Linked DNA regions of Rattus norvegicus. The protein of the gene in region 1 interacts with the protein of each later gene in a pairwise test. Links are inferred from orthologs where the notes say so. Each region holds a gene or a part of one and is shown on either strand. Other genes may lie near its edges.

Evidence for each region.
Region 2: the proteins of Dctn2 (region 1) and Gadd45a interact in binary tests that used the Homo sapiens proteins (3 or more experiments, as listed by UniProt). The link is inferred for Rattus norvegicus from reciprocal best matches to the Homo sapiens genes DCTN2 and GADD45A.

Annotation. Positions count from the first base shown.
Region 1 is NC_086025.1:64,976,112-64,980,480, forward strand, and holds the start of Dctn2 (dynactin subunit 2), read left to right. Parts: upstream 1-1,354; 5' UTR 1,355-1,464; coding exon 1,465-1,500; intron 1,501-2,338; coding exon 2,339-2,407; intron 2,408-4,369. UniProt on the Homo sapiens protein: Part of the dynactin complex that activates the molecular motor dynein for ultra-processive transport along microtubules. In the dynactin soulder domain, binds the ACTR1A filament and acts as a molecular ruler to determine the length.
Region 2 is NC_086022.1:97,483,857-97,488,218, forward strand, and holds Gadd45a (growth arrest and DNA damage-inducible protein GADD45 alpha), read right to left. Parts: upstream 2,944-4,362; 5' UTR 2,794-2,943; coding exon 2,750-2,793; intron 2,661-2,749; coding exon 2,559-2,660; intron 2,474-2,558; exon of another isoform or gene 2,455-2,473; coding exon 2,217-2,454; intron 1,320-2,216; coding exon 1,206-1,319; 3' UTR 641-1,205; downstream 1-640. UniProt on the Homo sapiens protein: In T-cells, functions as a regulator of p38 MAPKs by inhibiting p88 phosphorylation and activity.

The DNA.
Region 1 (4,369 bases):
TCTATTTGTTTCCCACCTCCCATCGCACCCCCAAACCCCCTCCTCCTTCTCCTCTTCTGCTCTTGTTTCGAGACAGCTGGAGCTACATAGAGATTCTGGGACTCCCTAGATCAGGCATGTGCCACCACACCCAGCCTTTTCTTTTGTTTCAGAAGTGAGCCAGTGAGATGGCTCAGCAGGCAAAGGGGTTTTCCAAACACCTGAATTTGATCTGCAGGACCCCCCTGGTGGGAAGAGAAAACAGATGAATAACAGTTGCCCGCTGATCTCCACATGCATGTGTGTGCACACACAACACACAAAGAAATAAATTAAATTAAATCAAATTGGGGTTTCTATTGTCAGGCAACGGCATAAGCAAAGTAAGAAGATTACCTATACCATGTCTCTCCTCCAGAAAGATTTGTTGTTGATCTGGACACAAAGCTACTATGCAAGGTCCTGAGTTTAATCCCCAGCACTGAAAAGTGAGTCCCAGGCCACCCTGAACTAAAGTTTGAGACCTGTGTAAATTCCTCCCTCCTAATTTCTGGGGAACTATTAATGAATTGATGACCATCATGGAGCATTCAGTCAGACTGTGAGCCCGGACTTTTCCATTTAAGATGTCCAGAATTTTGGAAAAAAAGAAATAGCACACTCAGATAAACTTGGTTTTCAGATTATTATATGTATATCAGAAGTATAATAATAAGAAGCGTGCTTATACTAACAATTGTTAGTGGTCCACCTGAAGTTAATTTTTTAAAAATTATTATTATTTATTTTATGTGTCTGCGTGTTTGTCTGCATGTGTGTCTGGTGTCCTCAGAGGCCAGAAGAGGGCACTTGGTACCGGGGAGTTATACAGAACACAGGTCTTCTGCAAGAGGGCCGTGCTCTTAACCCCTTAGACATCTCTCCAGCTCCTGAAATTAAAATTTACTTAAGGATCCTCTATTTTTTCCAGAAGCTCTAACTGCAAAGACGGCCTTACTTTTCCATTCTTTACATTTTTATAAAATCTTTCTGTAAACAGCATGCCGTGGCAGGCTGTGTGGTTTCATCTAGTCAATTTCCAGGTTATCTACGGCAGGAATTATGAAACTCCTTTCATAGACTATTAAAGACGAAAAGAGATAAAATGTATGTAATAGCTCCCTAAGGTTGTTATTGTCACTGCCAGCCCAAGCCCCAGAAGACCAGGACTACATATCCCACAATGCTAGGCGGCGTCTCCTCGCCATTACCTCATTCACTGTCGCTCTCACCAATCCCAGCCTGTCCAGGGGTGTGGTAGCCGGCTATCCTCGCGACTTTTGCGGTCCCCTCCTGCCGGCCTGCTCCTGTCGCGAGACTTCCTGCTCCTCCGCCGCTCCCCTTATCGTCGCCTAGCCGGGGACCCGGACCCAGCCTCTCCCCCACTCGGTCACCGGCCCGGCTCCTCCAAGGCCCCGGTTCCCCCAGCCCCGCTTCGCCGCCGCCATGGCGGACCCTAAATACGCCGATCTCCCCGGCATTGTGAGTACAGGGCCGGGCCCGGCTCCCCAGACCGCGCCCCCGACCTCCCGAGGATCCCTAACAGAAACCAGCCCGCGACCCCTCCCGCTGGCAGGCCTTTCGCCCCAAGGGTTCCCGCCGCTCGCCCTTGGACGGCCGCAGCACCTTCTGGACTCCAGAGCCGGCTGGGCCGGCCGTTGGACCGTGTCGGGCCCCCTCTCTGGCAGTAGCGGGTTTCTCCGCCCAGAAATCACTTCCAGGCGCTTACCACTTGTGCCCGAGTGTTTGTACCGTCCATGTCAACAGTGCTCTTGTCGCCCCAAATTTCCCGATTGCCCGCCCCCGCATCCGTACTCCAGCCATACTCACCAGGCCACTTGATGGCCTTCTTGCCAGGGAGATCTGTGCATTGCGTGCGCCTGTGTGCTTGCTCCTCATACACAAGCCGGCATGTATCCTCTGTTCGTGCTGCCCTCTCTGCATTCTCAGGGTTGGGAGGTTGGTATACAGGACCTTGAGAACTAAGGTCCTGAGTCACTCTCAACCCTTGCATAGTGATGTGCAGGGCCTAACTCAAGGAACCCTCACTCCAGACTAGGACAAAATGATTAGCAAGGACTAGCCTCTCAGCAGTGTTCAGGGTAACATCTTTCTTTAACACTGGTCATTTTATCCCAGGTCCCACTATGTACCTGTGGTCACCCCACCGAGAGAAGGGAACCAACATACAGTTGACAGGGGAGGTGGAGGACAGAATCTTTGAGATACAGTGTGGTTTTCCAGTACCTTGTTCAAAGGAAATGGGATAAGAGAGGAATGCTGGGAAATGAGTCTGGGTGATCCCTGCTTCTCCCTGCAGGCCAGGAACGAGCCAGATGTTTATGAAACCAGCGACCTACCTGAGGATGATCAAGCAGAGTTTGATGCGGTAAGACTATGTGCTACACCTCAGGATCCCTTGGGACTCTGACCTTTCTCCCCAGATACAGGCCCTTTCCCTTCTCTGGCAAGCCACAACAATAAGTGGGTATGCCAACCCCAGCCTGGGTGGTATGTAGGTCTCAGAACTTTTAAAGGCCTTGTTCAGCTTCTGGCAGCCACCAGTGAACGATACTAGAAAGGAGAGTCAAGCCAGTGAGATTACAACTAACAGGACCTGTAAAACCCAAGTCTTATTAAATACAATTGAAGTATCTCTAAGCAGTTACATTCTGGACTAGCAATCGATTAGTGAGGCCCCTGGGTTCTAAACCACGCGTTGAATTATGAAACTTGAACATAATACATTGTTCAAGGTTAGGGTGGGCCTTTTTTATTTTATAAGATATTTCAATCATTAAATTAAATCGTTATTAGTACTTAGCAAGAACTTGAATTTGGAACTGTACTAACCATTAGGGAAGGTGTAATCAGCAGAGAAGAGACAATGGTAATAATATATTAAGTCTGCTCTGTGTGCTGTAAGGAGTCGGTGGGTGGTGGGGGGCACACTTTAACCAGGAATTTATTATCATTTAAAAGAATATGTTCATTCTCTTTTGATTTTTGCCGAGACAGTTAGGATGTATACAGGAAATGTAGGAGTTAGGATATGTATAGGTAACATAAGAAAAAGCCCAAAGGGAATGAACAGACGTTAGTAAAGTGCTGTGAGCACAGAGGTCCAGCAGTGGCCTATATAGATTATGTTTTATTAGTTCCAAACCACACCGAGCTGGGCTCATGTGGATGCTATGAGAGCACAGTGGAGGCGTGGCCAAAGTCATGGGGACATTGTCAGCAGGCCCAGTGTGTGTGTCTGTCAGTCCTGTGGCCATGTCTGTGGGGCTGGTTAGTTCTGGGGATGTTGGCTGCTGCCTTACACTGGTATGGCTTGGCATGCTCACTTATTCTTATCTTGTTCTCCCATGTGGAAGTGCTTCCTACACTGTGGGAATGACTTCCCTGTCCCTTCTCTCAACAGTGTGTTCCTTGTGGCTTCTGTATTTGCTGGCATGTCAGTCTGCCGATCCCTTTTCCCTCAAGCTTAAGTATCTGGAGATAATGCAGATGGTGTCATTGTCGAAGTACCTGAGTGTGAAGCTGTCACTCCAAGAGGTGCCTCAGCTAACTCTGTCCTTAGAGCAGGGGAGCATAATACGAGGAGCCAACTCAGCGATGGCTCAGAACCTCTGCCTGTAGAATACCAAGCGTGCAGAGAGAGACTGTCTGCCAGTCGCTGATGCAGACAGACAGTATCACTGCAGCCCTGTAGACTCAGGTGCTGCAGCTGCTCTCATCACCGTAGCTCAGCCAGCTTTTTAGAAGAGTGTGTGTGGAGACCTTCAGTGCTGCAGGAGCCCTGAGAGCTAAGTCACTTCCTGATGTCAGCTAATATCTTTGGCCCCTACATGTCCCTATGGGCCTTAGGAAGGCCGTGTCTGGGAAGGGTGCTGCGTAACGGCTCTGCTGCTGCTCATAACGTGCTGACGTGAACGTGCAGTTTGAGGGGCAGCTCCAATCCAGAAACACTGTGGCTCTGAGGCCTGGGTGCTGGCTGGGAGCCGCTGAGCCATGAGGTCTTCTGCCGCTTCGGAATCTCCAGATTGTTTTCAATTTGAATTTCATTTGTTTTCAAATTAAGTCATACATTTGTAGAAAAAAAAACAAAAAACAAAAATGTTTAAGACTGTGTTGTGAAAAAGTTCCCCACCTCTGCCTGCCTCTTGGTTCTCTTTCCTCGGAACAGCTAATATAGCCAAATTGTAAATAATTTTAGGGGTCTGCAAATGTTAATTTATTTTTTATTTTAATTTTGAAACAAGCTCTCATTGTATTGCCCTGTCTGGCCTAGAACACCCTATGTAGTTTTATGTAGCACAGGCTGGCCAATTGCTAGGAGTTAAGACAT
Region 2 (4,362 bases), on another chromosome or scaffold:
ACTGGGAACTACAGCTATTCACCCTATTAACTACCCCTTACCTCCCATGTTATCTACCTACAACACTGACCATGTCACTTCCTTCTGCAGACTGTGGCAAGTTCACAGAAGGAAGCTCGAATACATAATGGTGATGTAAGAACTCCTGTCAGCATCTGAGTCGAACCCCCACCTTTCCAACCCTCTCTCTCACTTATCTCCCTACACCAGAGGCACGCAGCGTCACCCTTGCAGGTCTCTCTGCGGGCTCTGATCTTTCATGCCTGCACCATTGCACAAACTTTTGTAGCTGTTAGCAATACCCTTTCCCTGTCTCTACCTAGAGAAACTAAGCTCATTTCTTAAGCCTCCAATAAGATGATTTTTTTCCCCTCAGTAAAAGCTTCACTTATCTTCAAGCAGCTTTGGTAACCCTCCTCTCTGCTTCTATGTTTTGCATGCAATTAATTATAGCATTTTAATAATTCATTGTAATTCAGACTTTGCAAGGTGACTCTTTCTCCATATTCCCTTTGCCCTTACCCAAACCCTCTACCATCACCCATCTTTCTGCCTGGTGGCTTTAAAGCAAAGTTTCAATACAAAGTCTGATAAGAGTCCATGTTGGAAAACACATACCACACATTGAGAAACGACACAGTTATTCCATACCAGTTTATTTTAGATAATGTGCTTCAAAAACGTTTTATCATAAATAACCTTTCACATCATAAAATAACTTAGTACGATTTATAATAAAACTTCTGAGAATTTAACATCTCATCAAAATACATTAAACTGTGGCTTGAAAATATGATTAACCCTTTTCACTTTTCTTTTATTTGAGGGCATGAAGACCAAAAAAAATACCCAAAATATTGCTACACATTTAAAGTTTCAACAAAGCAATATTTGGTTTACTTTACTGTAACCCGGCCATCCTAAATTAATAGTTTTCTTTCTTGCACAGTTCTTTGTAGTTTTTTTGTCCCTTTTGACTTGGATTTCTGTTTCCACACAGCTTCCTCCTTCAGTCTCACCTCTCTCTCCTTCTGCAAAGTCATCTCCTAGCCCTCCTGTAGTTGAACTCAGCCCCTTGACATCAGTTTCTGTAATCCTTGCATCAGCGTGGGGAGTGACTGCTTGAGTAACTACAAAGGTATTTCAAAACTTCAGTGCAATTTGGTTCAGTTATTTCCATTCAGATGCCATCACCGTTCGGGGAATCACCGTTCGGGGAGATTAATCACTGGCACCCACTGATCCATGTAGCGACTTTCCCGGCAAAAACAAATAAGTTGACTTAAGGCAGGATCCTTCCATTGTGATGAATGTGGGTTCTGAGAACAGATTTAGAAAAATTACTTCCCCATAATATGATCAGCGTATGCTACTAGCTGTACTACTTTTGAAAGGGCCAAACCCCAAACATTCTGCCAAACAGCGTTTGGCCAAGTCTAAACACCTGTAATGCACACTGAGCCACACAGTTTTGCATATTAACTACCCCACTCTTCATGAAGTTATCATTCTCAAGACTGCCCTTCCAAGCACGTACCCTGGTGGAGTCATAAGTAAAATACTTCTGAAAAACATTCTCAGGCTGTGTGCACCGTGAGAGCTGCAGGGAGGGCAGCTGAACTCTTTTATCTTTCCTGACAATGAATAGCACTTTTCACTGGCAGCACAAATAATCAGGCTACCACTTCCCTACACAAGTCAAAAGAGTACAAAAACAAAAAACCAGAAGACCGAGACAGCAGCACATTTCTTTCTGAAAACACTATCCACCCACCACACATTTTTAAGCGGTGGGGAGGAGGGTGGAGAGGGCTCGTTTAAACAAACTCAAGAGCAGCAAAGAAAAGAATTCCACTCCGTACACTTCACAGAGTATCTATATCCAGGGAGTTAATAAGGTCTGTCTCCTACACGACTTCTATCTTTAGCTTTGACAGCAAATGAAGAATGAAGCTGACTTCTTAACGAAGGGTGAACCGGGAACTTAATGTGGCTTTATCTAATCTGTTCTGCTCAAAGAATTAGTCACACGAGCTAGTGCAGAGGTAGGCAGGGGTAGCTGGGTAGCCTGCTGACTCACTGATATCATCCGCCGCTGGAGGCCACCCATGAGCTTAGACACGCTCCTCACAGTATCAGAACCCCCGCGAGATCAGCGTCCAGCTCGGACAAGGTCCACCCCAGCAGATTCTGAGCTGCAGCCCCTGGTCTCTTACCGTCACCAGCACACAGTGTAAGTCCGGGGTCTGCGCAGCGCCCCCGCTCTCAGCGGGGCTCTTGTCGTTCTCCAGTAGCAACAGCTCTGCCAGCCGACCCGGGTTGCTGACCCGCAGGATGTTGATGTCGTTCTCGCAACAGAAAGCACGAATGAGGGTGAAATGGATCTGCAGAGCCACGTCCCGGTCGTCATCTTCATCCGCAGCCAGCAGGCACAGGACCACGTTGTCCGGGTCTCTACAGACAGTGGGCAACGGTGAGTGTACAAGCTCCGGGGAGCGCGGGGTAGAAGCGGGTGGGTAAGCGGGAGGCGGGGGGCGCGGGTGGCCGGGGCCACTTACACGTTGAGCAGCTTGGCTGCCTCGTACACGCCGACAGTTATGGTGCGCTGACTCCGAGCCTTGCTGAGCACTTCCTCCAGGGCATCGCCCACCGTGTCCATCCTGCAGATCGCAGGGCGAGAGCGGGTCAGTAGGGTTCCGGGCCGCGAAGCCGTAGGGGTGGCGGCCACCGAGTCCGCAGGCACACTTACCTTTCGATCTTCTGCTCTGCGGCCGAGAATTCCTCCAAAGTCATATTGCAAGTGCGAGTCCCTCACGCGGCGCGCGGGCTGCTCCTGGCCCCCACAGTGCCCGGCGCCGGCTCTGCGCTGGCTCCCACCCTCGCGTCTCTGCTCTCGCCGGCTTCTTGCTTAGCCTCGCTGGGGAACACTGCACAGCTGCCTCGGGGCCACTGGAGGACAAAGGGTCCGATCCGGAGATATGGGGCTAGCCCTCAGCCAACCACGGCTAGCCTCATTTACATGCAGCCAGGTCATTGGGTCATGCAAATTAGCAGACTTTGACACTCTGACGCTAGCTCCACCAAGCTAGGCAGAGTTGAGCGGAAGGGGGCGGAGCTATGCGGGAGGGAGCCCCTGGCACGAAGGTGGTGCAGAAAGCCGGTTGGTGGGGTCCGGAGCCAGCTCTAGACAGTTTGTGAAGCCATCTGGTGCAGAGGGCTTTTGGAGTGGTTCAAGTGTCCTCAGCTCTGACTGAAACAGCCTGCCAATTGTTTCTCTGGTTGTGGACATCTTTTGATTGTCGTTTCGTGTTCTTTTGTGTTAAGGGACTGCTTTTTAAAATTTATTTCCAGGGGTTAATGCACTCTAGTCTAGTTGTTATTAGTAAGCATATTTTTAAGTGTTCAGACGTACCAGGCAAAGCTTGCTTCAGAGTGTTTATATGCAAGTTACAGGTTAAGCTGCTTATTCCCAGTAGTATTCTTTTGGTGCCCTGATGGCTGGTTTGATTTGGTTTTGGTTGGTTGTGAGAATTTGAAACTCCAGGGAGGAAAAAAAAAGCACATTTGTGTGTAGTGATGGCACAGTACCGAGTTGGAATCTTTTCCACAAAAAGCTGGTGAAATTTCTGCCCCACTCCTTGTAAGCTGGTGATCACATGTCTAACGAGCCAAGCTCACCGTTCTTAAAACCTTTCCTGAAGAAGGCTCCTTCTAATCAAGTAAGAGCTAAGAGACAAATTCTGTGATATTCAGAGTAACCACAGTCTAAATTCGAGATGCTCATGATGCCCCCTAGACTTCCCATCACAGAGTATGACACTGCCTTCTGTTGCCTATGATCTCACTCTGAATCATGAAGCTGTAACTATAGTTCATTTTAGCCATGTGCTAAAATTTCACCTTTGAGACATAGCAACTTGTAGGTAGAAGGCAAACCTTTATAACTGTAAGCAGGAGTTACAAATTAAAAACAATTTTTAATGTAAACTTTTACTGCATAGTTCAAAACCCCCTTTTTTTGTGAGCTTATTCAATAAATACGAAAACATTGCCTGAACCTACTAGTCACCAAGAGTGGTGAAATGGTGAAATGGTGAAATGGTTTGCATTCCTAACAGTGCTTATATTGAGGTCACTGGGCAGTTAGAGAGGTAAATTTTGCAGAAGTACATGTGACTTTTGCATCCTTAAGTGTTTATTCTTGTGGACAAAATATTTTCCAATTCTCTTAATCTTAATGGAAAATTGATAGGTTGATTTTTCTAGTTCACTTATTGGAGACAACTTTCCTTTTAATCCCTAAGTGCTATGTCCCCAAGAGACAATATCTGAGTAAAGGAACAAGCGTCAGCATGCTTGTGT